Linked DNA regions of Arabidopsis thaliana. The protein of the gene in region 1 interacts with the protein of each later gene in a pairwise test. Each region holds a gene or a part of one and is shown in the gene's direction. Other genes may lie near its edges.

Evidence for each region.
Region 2: the proteins of LBD14 (region 1) and AHG1 interact in binary tests that used the Arabidopsis thaliana proteins (3 or more experiments, as listed by UniProt).
Region 3: the proteins of LBD14 (region 1) and MYB54 interact in binary tests that used the Arabidopsis thaliana proteins (3 or more experiments, as listed by UniProt).

What each region holds. Positions count from the first base shown.
Region 1 is NC_003071.7:13,351,366-13,354,198, forward strand, and holds LBD14 (LOB domain-containing protein 14), read left to right. Parts: upstream 1-1,551; 5' UTR 1,552-1,619; coding exon 1,620-1,898; intron 1,899-2,000; coding exon 2,001-2,288; 3' UTR 2,289-2,307; downstream 2,308-2,833. Other genes in the region: PARP1 (poly(ADP-ribose) polymerase 2), read right to left, coding at 2,681-2,728.
Region 2 is NC_003076.8:21,025,018-21,029,752, forward strand, and holds AHG1 (Protein phosphatase 2C family protein), read left to right. Parts: upstream 1-1,857; 5' UTR 1,858-1,898; coding exon 1,899-2,363; intron 2,364-2,429; coding exon 2,430-2,774; intron 2,775-2,840; coding exon 2,841-2,946; intron 2,947-3,560; coding exon 3,561-3,895; 3' UTR 3,896-4,171; downstream 4,172-4,735. UniProt on the Arabidopsis thaliana protein: Negative regulator of abscisic acid (ABA) responses during seed germination.
Region 3 is NC_003070.9:27,599,839-27,603,881, forward strand, and holds MYB54 (myb domain protein 54), read left to right. Parts: upstream 1-1,754; 5' UTR 1,755-2,013; coding exon 2,014-2,134; intron 2,135-2,245; coding exon 2,246-2,677; coding exon of another isoform or gene 2,678-2,736; exon of another isoform or gene 2,737-3,021; coding exon 3,022-3,200; 3' UTR 3,201-3,479; downstream 3,480-4,043. UniProt on the Arabidopsis thaliana protein: Transcription factor that regulates secondary cell wall (SCW) biosynthesis, especially in interfascicular and xylary fibers.

The sequences.
Region 1 (2,833 bases):
GATTCATTGCAATGTTAACTCCTTCATACTCTGTTGAAAATGATGTGAATCATTGAAGATTGCTAATTAGTTAAAGAATTACAAGGATGTTATATTTTCTTTCTACATTTGAATATGCTTTTGCTTTTGCTTTTGCGACTGCATACTATTTCTCAAAATGCAATGTTCGGGTTTCATCAATTAAAAGATGAGCACTATATTATTTTCCCAGTAGAATAGGATTTGCAAAGGGTAAGTATAATGTTTGGGTTTCATTGGCCGATGTTGGGATCAATGCAGCTTCTGGATCAGATGGGTTGTGATTAGGATCGATAAAAAAATATGACCGATATGGCAGAACGATGTAGCTACTGGTCGGATGGTTTGGTTGGCTAGATCGGTGGCTCTATGACCATGATGGTTGATCGATGCGGGTTATTTAGTTGGCTCCAGGGATATTGGATCTGCATTTGACTGATGGGCACGGCCAATGTGGCTTATGAGGGTTGTTTGAGGAGTCCTAGATCAGTCATTGGTGAGACCGATCCCATGGCCGTACTGGTTCTGTTATTTCTTTGTTCCCCGGTCCTTCTTTGACCAAAACTCCGTCTTTTCCGCAAACTCTAGGCACAAGTTAGGATATCTAAAGACACCCGAAATCCTTAACATAGATAAGAAAACAAAAATAAAGCTTCAAACTCAAATTTTTCTTACTATTTTTAATCTCCACTAAACCAACATTAAGTCATAAATCCACTATCAGTTGTTCATTATTATCGAATAATTTAACTTTTGTACTTGATCAATTATTTTGGAATATTTTTGATGTTAATCATGATTCATGATTAATATGTGGGCTGGATAATCATGGGTCTCTCTATTTTTCTAGTCTGTAAAGTTTGATCGAAACTGAGAGCATTTTAAAATATTTAAATCGAGATATAGAAATAACTTGTCTCATATACTACTAATATCAAATGCCTTTGTTCTTATTCTACACACATCTCAATCACTTATGTGGTGTATATGTTGAGCATTGTTAAATCTTAAACTATTGTTTTCCAAATTAAGCAATAATGACAACAATCTTAACATAATTTCACAAGTACATGTAAATTTTCAACTAAACAAACACTAAAAGTAAACTCTAATTTATTTTTCTAAATAAAATAAGAGAGTAAATTAGTTATGAATTAAAAAAAAGCTAAAACCACAACAAAAAGCAACTTGGGTTTGGTTCATGTTTACTCATTGTTTTGTCCTATACGTCAACCAAATCTCTCATTTGATCGGATCTTAATATTAATATGGTTCTCTCAATATTTTCTTAAGAATATTCTCCACCTTAAGAGTTTAATCTCAATAATATATTACAACGAGTTATTGAATATTAGAGAGATGTTTTACAATATAAACTTGAGGGAAAATATAAAAGCTGCAATCTTGTAATTGTAAGCCATTAGAGAGACAAATATGTAAAATAACAAGTTGAGTTATCATAAATCCCACCTTAGTCCTTTACCATAAACACTCGTGCACTATATAATCGTCACTAGAAGAGTATAAGTAATGAAGTATTAATATTCCTACAAGATAGTAATAGTTGGTTAATATCAATAGATTATAATTACGTTTTGAGAATGGGAGGTTTAGGCTCACCATGTGGAGGATGCAAGTTCTTGCGTAGGAAATGTGTAGAGGGTTGTGTATTTGCACCATACTTTTGCTACGAAGAAGGATCTTCTAATTTTGCAGCCATTCACAAAGTGTTTGGAGCTAGCAACTTCTCTAAGCTCATTTCTCATCTCCCTGATCATGACCGATGTGACGCCGTACGAACCATCTCTTACGAGGCTCACTCTCGTCTCCATGATCCTATTTACGGCTGCGTCTCCCAAATCTTCTCCCTCCAACAACAGGTATTATACTTTTTCTTCGGAAATGTATACATAATTTTTTTTTGCTTTTGCTTCATCATCTCTAGTGTACTTACAAGTAACTTCACTGACTTTGTTCTTAAGGTTGTTAGTTTACAAGCACAAGTGGTTCTACTTAGAGAAGAAGCTTCGAGAAGGTTCCCTCAAGATGATCCTGGTTGTAATATGAAGCAACAAGAAAAGGTTCTTGCTCAACAAATGCCACAAGATCTTCACAATTGGTTTCACCAAGGAATCTTGGACTCAGACTTCGACCCAATGAGTGGTACTACACGCGACAATGAGCGGTCCATGGATCATAATGAGTCTCCTTGTAGCTCAAATGAATCACTTAATTACTACCAGGAGGTCAATTTTCCTTGGTCTGTTTGAGTACAAGTGACTACTTTGTCAGAGATGGAACCTTACAATCTTTCTATTGTATCGACTTTTCGACATTTTTCATAGTAGAGATCGAATCATGCAACCATTTTCTCTTTGAGAATAACCACTTCTTCGATGATCTTTCATAGGTACAACATCAGATCTGAACAAGTGTCAAGTCTTAAGAAGTGTCATTACTGAGAAAAAGCATAACAAAATGTAGTGTACGCTGTTTTAAAACCAGAAACATCTACAACGCCAGAGAGTTAAATCTGTGACTACATGTTGGATTCGATTTATCAAAAGACATTTAGTTACAAAAGTTAAGTCTTCGTGTTGGATTCGATTTCCCAAAAAAACATTTAGTTAACAGAAGTGACGTCTTCTTGTTTGGTTCAGGCTCATCTCTTGTGCTTAAACCTTACTTTCAACAAGAACTGCAACTTCACCTGTTCAGAGACAAAGCAATCTTTGTCAGACATGTACACACCATAAAAGAATCAAACACAGAATATGTTGCAAAACTAATAGCTAAAGCCGTATTCTAAAGCATG
Region 2 (4,735 bases), on another chromosome or scaffold:
AATATTTCCCTTGACTCCATGCCATGAAATGAAACCTATTTTCTTTGTTGTTCTCCGATTCTTTATAGTTTTCAGTCATATTTGGTGATCAAATTAACTGACTTTAGTGCCATAGAGTCTTCAGAAAAATTTATTGGTGTTTCCATGCATGCTTCTACACATTAGTTTCTTTTTGCAGGAGATTTGGACCCCACACAAAGTATTTTCACTACAAACACTATTCTTTCTCATTATTTTCCAACTTTTTCTGAATTGATCATAGGATTTTTGGTAAGCAACTTCCCTTCATATAGTAATTCTAACCACACGCAAAATTATTAAACCAAATTTCCGCAAGAAGATCATAAAAAACTGAATAAACAATTTAAACAAACATTGATGTACGAAGATAACATTTCTATCATATATGGTTTATATATAATAACCTACTAAAACAGCCAGGGATTGAAATTAAGCTCACTAGTTTTTATTTTCTTCACATAAAAAAAAAAACAAAATCACTATATCGGCAAGTTAAGTTTTCAATCATTAAAACCTAAAACTAACCACCCAACCCACCAATGATTAAAACTATATCCCAGTCCCAACTAATCACAAATTTAAGGTAAAGTGTGTTTGAATCATTTTTTAAGAATTTTAGACAAGCTTTTTCATTATTATCTTCCTTTTAGATAACTTACACATTTATATTAGCTTAATATTTTGTTTGTTTTAGTTTTTAGCTAAACCATATCATTCATGTAGAGAGAACCACCCTAACTGTTATGATCTATTCGACTCGTATTAATTCTCATCAATATAGCAAAATATTAGGATTGATCGATCCACATATTTCAGTTCACCCACTTTAATATATTTCAAAGACAGTTTGTAAACATTTATTACGGTTTTCGTAGATCTTGAGTATTTGAATAAATAATGATATGATTCTTTGTATCTTGTACAGTTGCTTATTTGAGTAGACATTAATTACAAATCAAATCTGTTAGCATAAAATATACATATATCGCCGTTTTTCTTCATTTGTAGGAAACCAAATAAAGAATAAAAGGCATATGGCACTGATGGACTAAACTGGCATAACTATGCTACGTGTTTAATTGGTACAAGTCGCTCAACCTGAGGAATCGAGAAGTTGTAGATGATCACTATGTGACATGTGTTGCACCGAAAAAGAGTGACTAGTGACGATTGACGATTCGTCAACCTTTTTCTCCGAAGATATCTCCAACGTTATGGTTAATCCCATGATTTGGTTTAAGTATACTTACCGTTCAGGTTTTATAGAAAATACTACTCGAGATTTGGAACGATCAGTAAATGTTATTCCAGATTTAATATAGTAGAAATTGTTTGTTTTCACTTTTCAAAAAGATGGTTTTCAAAATTTAATTCTTTTTAAAAATAAGAAAATTGATATAAACCTTTTCAATATTGTTACATTTATAGTCATTGTTTTGACATTAATGTTTTCATATTGAAAGCAAAAGGAAACAAGATGCAATATTTCGTATATCATGAGTTTTTCATTTTCTATAATATTTGATGAATTAGTCCAGAACCAGCCTGATCCTTGTAGTTCACATGGTTTGAGAGATCAGCTCCGGCTCATGGGTTCAAATTCAAGCAAGGAGAAGAAGAAAGGAGTTAAGACACAAGAGCCTAGCTAAACGACTATCGTCATGAACCCAAAACCGGATGCGGTTTAACAAAAACCGAAGGCGTCTCCACGTGGACAACAACTTAACACCTGAGCCTAACACGCGAATACATCGAAACACCGACACGTGTTCTGTCTTCCTCGTAAGCTTCTTTATGTTCAAAGTGTTCTCTCTTTCTCTCGGCCCCATGTATATAAAGCGGTGCTCTCTTGATCCACCGAAACGAATTTTGAAAAGATGACTGAAATCTACAGAACAATTTCAACCGGACGTGGAGACGACGTTTCTCCGACTAAATGCCGTGAACGTCGTCGTCGGAGAATTGAGATGCGGAGACAAGCGGCGGTTTTCGGCGAACCTAGTTCGTCTAGGAATCGTGATCGGACGGACATGGAAGTTTACTCAAGTTTTGACGTTCCATTGAGGAAACAAGCTCGGAGGTCAGAGATCGGTGGTCTTCCGGCGGATATCGGGGGCTTTTTGGCACCTCCGGCGGCATCTTCTTGCCAAAAATCGGAAGCGCCGGTGTGGAAGGGAGAAGAAACGGAGGATGAGCCGTTGTACGGTATAGTTTCGGTTATGGGAAGATCTCGTAAGATGGAGGATTCGGTTACTGTTAAACCGAATTTGTGCAAACCGGAAGTTAACCGGCAAAGACCGGTTCATTTCTTTGCGGTATACGATGGCCACGGCGGTTCTCAGGTAAGAAAATTAACCAGGGGTGGTTTGGTCATTTAATATAAAGATGCTGATGTGATGCGTGGACAGGTGTCAACATTGTGCAGCACGACTATGCACACGTTTGTCAAGGAGGAGCTAGAGCAAAACCTCGAAGAGGAGGAAGAAGGAAGCGAAAACGATGTCGTGGAGAGGAAATGGCGGGGCGTGATGAAACGGAGTTTCAAGAGGATGGATGAGATGGCAACGAGTACATGCGTGTGTGGGACTAGTGTGCCGTTGTGTAACTGTGATCCGAGGGAGGCTGCGATTTCGGGTTCAACGGCGGTCACTGCGGTTTTGACGCACGATCATATTATTGTAGCCAATACTGGTGACTCACGTGCGGTGTTGTGTCGAAATGGAATGGCTATTCCTCTGAGTAACGATCACAAGGTGGTGTTCTTGTAAAGGTTTGAGAATATTGGAGTTTCTATTTTGAAGTTGTTGAGTTTTTTGCAGCCGGATAGACCAGACGAGCGTGCGAGGATTGAAGCAGCTGGTGGTCGAGTTTTAGTAGTGGATGGAGCTAGAGTTGAAGGAATTCTAGCCACGTCCAGAGCCATAGGTATACCTTTCTCAATTCTCATATTGTAGTAAAAGATGATTTTAGTTGATAGTGTTGAAGATGGCAAGGAACTAGAGCCTATAAGGGCAATAATAATCATTTCGGATTTGGGGTTTAGGGTTTTAAGTTTACTAACTAAGGTACTATGGATTGGTTTCATTTGGTGCGAGTTCTTTTGTTGATTAATTCTAATTCTATTTTCAAAGATGTTTTATAATTGTTCCTTTAAAAAAAAAATATGTAAATTTTACTCTCTTTTTTTTGTCAAAATGTTAACTAGAAATTTTACATTGGTCCTAATAGTTTAACATTTGACAAAAAAAAAAAAAAACAAAAAAAATTATATTTGCAGCATTAACTAGAAAACAAAAATAATTGAATCATTTTACGAAAATAAAAAATGTGGGCATTCATACAAACCATCTCATGGATTAGAACGGGAGAAGTATTTTTCTTAACTTCAAAAGTATTTAAATGTGTCTTATCTTTGTATCTTTCATTGTTTGATCATTTAACCAACTTAAAATTTATTTCGGTTATACAATTTATTAGACTAAACATGAAGTTTTAGTATGGAAATTGTTCCTAATGTTGTGTTACAATTCATGGAGCAGGGGACAGGTATCTAAAACCAATGGTAGCATGGGAACCAGAAGTAACATTCATGAGAAGGGAATCTGGAGATGAATGCTTAGTATTAGCAAGCGATGGGCTTTGGGATGTACTCTCGAGTCAGCTAGCTTGTGACATAGCTAGGTTTTGTCTCCGCGAAGAAACTCCCTCGAGCCTTGATTTAAATAGAATGGCTCAAGAAGACGACAATGACGGAGAACAAAATCCTTCAAGGAGTGTATTGGCTGCAACGTTGCTAACGCGGTTGGCTTTGGGTAGACAAAGCAGTGATAATATAAGTGTGGTCGTCATTGATCTCAAGAATAGCTCTCAGTAAAACTAGTTTTGGATCCTTTTTTTGGTGGTTGTGCAATTAAGTGGTTAAACCAAAGAATAAGATGTTGATATAGCGATGAGCCTTAATTAGTTTTAGGGTTTAGCGCCCGTCTTTGTTTTGTTATGAATTGGGGTTACCAATACACATTAACACCGGCGAATGTGAAAGGAAAAGAGAGTTGTTTGGATATGGGCTACAAGGTTATTTAGTGGTTTGGCCATGGGCTATTAAGGGTATTTAGTGGTTTAAACAATAAAATAAAAGTTAACTTGAGAGAATTTGTTCTCTAATTTTGTTTGTTGTATGTGTGTGATCATTTTGAAGTTATTGATCGTTTAGCTATTTAGGTGGTATGTGTGAAATAAATAGATAAAATAAAAACGTAGTACTGCTTTGGTTTTGTTCGTTGTAGTTCATTAGACGCCGGTCTTGGTCTTTTATATTTTTTTGATGGACTGATCATTTCCAATGGTTAAAGTCATCTCTGTCTACAAATACTTACATTTTGGTACAACCTGAATGAAGTGAATTTAAGGCTGAGATTTTGAACCAGCCCTAACCCTACTCAACCGTGCAGTTTTATATTTGGTTCAACAATGCTATATAGGCTTTTGGGCCAATTACCAGATTGTCTTTACTCTTTAGGCTTTAAAGGAAAAAAAAAAGAGATGTGCAAAAGAATCAAAGAGAACAATTCAAGAAAGAGAGACAAAAAGACAACTCTTATAGTTCGATGGAAATGGAACAATTCGAACAGGTTTGACGAATACAGAGTTTTGGTCCTAAATAAAAGGGAGATCAAGAATCAAGAATTGTCTTTGAAGTAAAACAAAAAGCGTG
Region 3 (4,043 bases), on another chromosome or scaffold:
TCATCATACTAAAACAAAGAACCATTTTCAGTGGTGCGATGATTCTGTTGCCTAGAGAGGAGCTCTTCGTGACTATGATCCCTGGTGAAATTTCATCCATCACAGTCTCTCTAATTCTGGACCAATAAGCATGGTTTCGAAAGCAAAGATACCTATCCAGGTCTATTGTCTAATGGTTATGTTGGTTTCTTTGAAAAGGCTCTCACAGCTCACAATATGTTTAACGTGTTCGTTTAAAGTCATTGTATTGACCATTGCATACATAGAGATAGAGCCGAACTTTGTATGATCCTTAGCAATGTGAGAGGCTTGTTTTCCTTATGGTTCATGACTATTATGGTTTATCTTCTGCTCTTGCTCTCTGATTCTCGAGTTTGATGTGAGATTCTTGAAACATTATGATGCTAGAACAGTGTCGGTTCATCGTTCAGTTCTGGTAACAGGTTCAAGTCTCAGGAACTCTTGCTGAAGAAGTCTAAAGACATGACACAGTTGGTCTGTCAGCCTTTGGTGATGAAGTACCCATACAGTTGTAAAATAAAAAGCCCACTGGTATATAATATTTGACCGGTTTAGTGTAATCAGGATCCGGTTTAGTTGAAATAGGTCATTTTGCGACGAAAATAGGTTAAGTTTAGTTATGATAGGTTCGAAAGTCGAAACTGAAGAAGGCTTCTCTCCTAACTACCGATAGAACAAATGAAGTTGATTATTGGCTTTCTTTCCCAACTAACTCTCTGTTTTATTTTATTTTCCTACTAAACTTTACCAGCAATTATTTTGGTTTTTGCTTACAGATTTTTTTTTTTTGAAGAAATGTTCTAATTAGTCCCACGGAACATTCAATGTAACTGATTCTGTTTTTAGTCCTGAATGTCCGAAACCTATAAAGTTCCGTTTTGGACAAGAGAGACGTGCTTGGAGACCAAATATTTGACCACCTTTTTTATTTGTTTACGACTAAAATGATTGACCACATGAGAATAAAATTTTTGCTAATATATTTCATCACTTGATTCAATTGTATACACCTTCTATTTTATTTACAGTTTATAAGAAAATACCCATTGTAAAATTGCAAAGAAAAAGTTAGTTGTATTGTCTCCACTTTGGACGATATATTCCTAATTAAGGCTTAGAAAAAACGTTGATTAGGTCTGAAAATATTTATCTTTAATTATTATGGACGATATTTGATACATGAAATAAATTTTTGTCAGTGTAGGATATCGATATTTATTATATGTGAATACGTAGCTTGCCAAGATTACAGAAACGTAGATGAGTATTGGTGGCTTGAAGTAGCGGGTGTAGGTTAGAACTTAGAAACAACAAACCTTAAATTAATACTATACGAAGAGACGTTGAGAGGCTAACGAAATCCTGCCCACACCAAGCAATCTCTAGTCTATGCTCTTATTTTCTACGATATTATATATTCTATAATTATTATAACTAAATAAAATCCTAGTTGTAAAATAAAGGAAAGAAAAAGGTAGATTACGTAGAAGGGGGTGTTTTGTTGGTTAGGGAAGACGTTGGCATCAGTCGCCGGTAGAGAGGTCCGTCCAAACCCTCCCGACTCTCTAACGGATTTTGTTTTATTTTATTTTAATTTTCATCATATAAAATGTATATATATATATATATATATATATTTTCTTTTGGTAAAGACATAAAATGTATATTAGACGAAAAAAAAGAAGAAGACATAAAATGTATATTATATATATACTCGCAATAATATAGACTATGTATATATATACGTGCAGGTGCTCTTCAGCTTTCTTCTTGTTCCCACATACCCATCTTCCCCAACCTTTTCCCAAGAAAAAAAAAACTTAGGGTTTTAATTTCTTATATATGTACATAAAATACATGAACACAACAAATTTTTTGCGTGCGTTATTGATATAGAATCTGTGTGTTTTTCTTTTTCTTTGTTCTTGTATTGGTTTGGATCGGTATACTTAGTTAATTACGTAATTAAATAGATCGGCGTGAAGAAGAAAAATGATCATGTGCAGCCGAGGCCATTGGAGACCAGCTGAAGACGAGAAGCTCAAGGATCTTGTCGAACAATACGGTCCTCACAATTGGAACGCCATTGCTCTCAAGCTTCCTGGTCGCTCTGGTAATTGATATCTTCTAGGGTTTGTCCATATATACAAAACTAGCTAGGGTTAATTTTGATACTTTGATATATATATACATATGAATTAATTGTATTGGTGTATATATGCAGGTAAGAGTTGTAGATTGAGATGGTTTAATCAATTGGATCCAAGGATCAACCGAAACCCTTTCACGGAAGAAGAAGAAGAAAGACTTTTAGCGGCTCATCGGATCCATGGGAACAGATGGTCCATCATCGCAAGGCTTTTCCCTGGAAGAACTGATAACGCCGTCAAGAACCATTGGCACGTCATCATGGCTCGTCGCACACGCCAAACCTCTAAGCCTCGTCTTCTTCCCTCGACGACTTCGTCTTCTTCTTTAATGGCGAGTGAACAAATCATGATGAGTTCTGGTGGTTATAATCATAATTATAGTTCCGATGATCGGAAGAAAATATTTCCAGCAGACTTTATAAATTTCCCTTACAAATTCTCTCATATCAATCATCTTCACTTCCTAAAGGAGTTTTTCACCGGAAAGATCGCTTTAAATCACAAAGGTAAACTCAAAATGATGGAGAAGGATCCATTTTCTATAGATGTGTTTGCATGTATATGAGTCTTGCACGGATTATTGATGAAAAAGGTATATATGTTCCAAAATTTTGAAATGAAGTTTAGCCGAATTTTTTTACTTTTCAAAGAGTTTAGCCGACTTTTTCATTTGCATAATCATTTTTCTAATGAACTTCAAAATTATGTGACAAAATTAGTTGCATGTTTTTTCTTGTACTCATCATCATATATTGTTTCCGTCATTACATGAAGTCATCTCTATATATTTAACATAGTTGCAATCCACATAGCTTATAATTTCGTCCTTCTTTTATCGTTTGGATCGCAGCAAATCAGAGTAAAAAGCCTATGGAGTTCTACAATTTTCTACAAGTAAACACAGATTCAAACAAGAGCGAGATTATAGATCAAGATTCAGGTCAAAGCAAACGCAGTGACTCGGACACCAAACATGAAAGTCATGTTCCATTCTTCGACTTTTTATCCGTTGGAAACTCTGCCTCCTAGGATTAGTTTTTTTGCAGTAACTCCTAAATTTCTAGATTAACTATTTAGTCCGTATACGTACGAGATTATCTAGGTCGTTAGCATGTATGCTTGATGTGTATAATCACTAACTAGTGAGCTATTACCTGCGAAAATTGTAAGAAAAATACATAATGTTGATGTATCACACATTCTCAATGTCTGTAAAATTTCCATCGAGTTGTTAACTATCAAAGTTATCCGTTTGAATGTATTTGTTTAATTTGTCTTGAATGAGATGAATAACATGTTTAAATGTTTAATTCTGTTACCAACAATTTAATTATATATATATAACGATTAATTGCTAGTTTGTTTCTTATTAAATTTGTATCATATTTATTCAACGTTCAAACAAATCACCGTTCAATTGTTTATGCATAACCCGATCATGAACTCGACCTCGAGAGGCCACAATATTATCAAAATTTGAAAGTATATATGTACAGTTGAAATCTTATATCGTTGAGATTATAACATGAAAAAAATCCAATGTTTGATGAAGAAGCAAAAGGTGTTGGAAAACTCTTTTTACTTCTTACTTTCCTTAATCGTTTTCTTACAACAACACAACCATTATGTAGTTCTTGTACTTAATCTAATTAGAAATTTGTTAATAACCAAGACCCACCCTTAATTGGGCCTTGTTCACCTCTGGGCCCAATGGCCTTTTTCTCTCTTTTCCTTCACTCTTCTTCTTCTTCTTCTTCTTCTTCTTCTTCTTCTTCTTCTTCTTCTTCCTCGTGCATACCTTGCTGTAGTTCCCTCTTTTCCTTCACTTGCTCCCTCATAGTTCGAACCCGTGCATACCTTTTAATTTCTGTT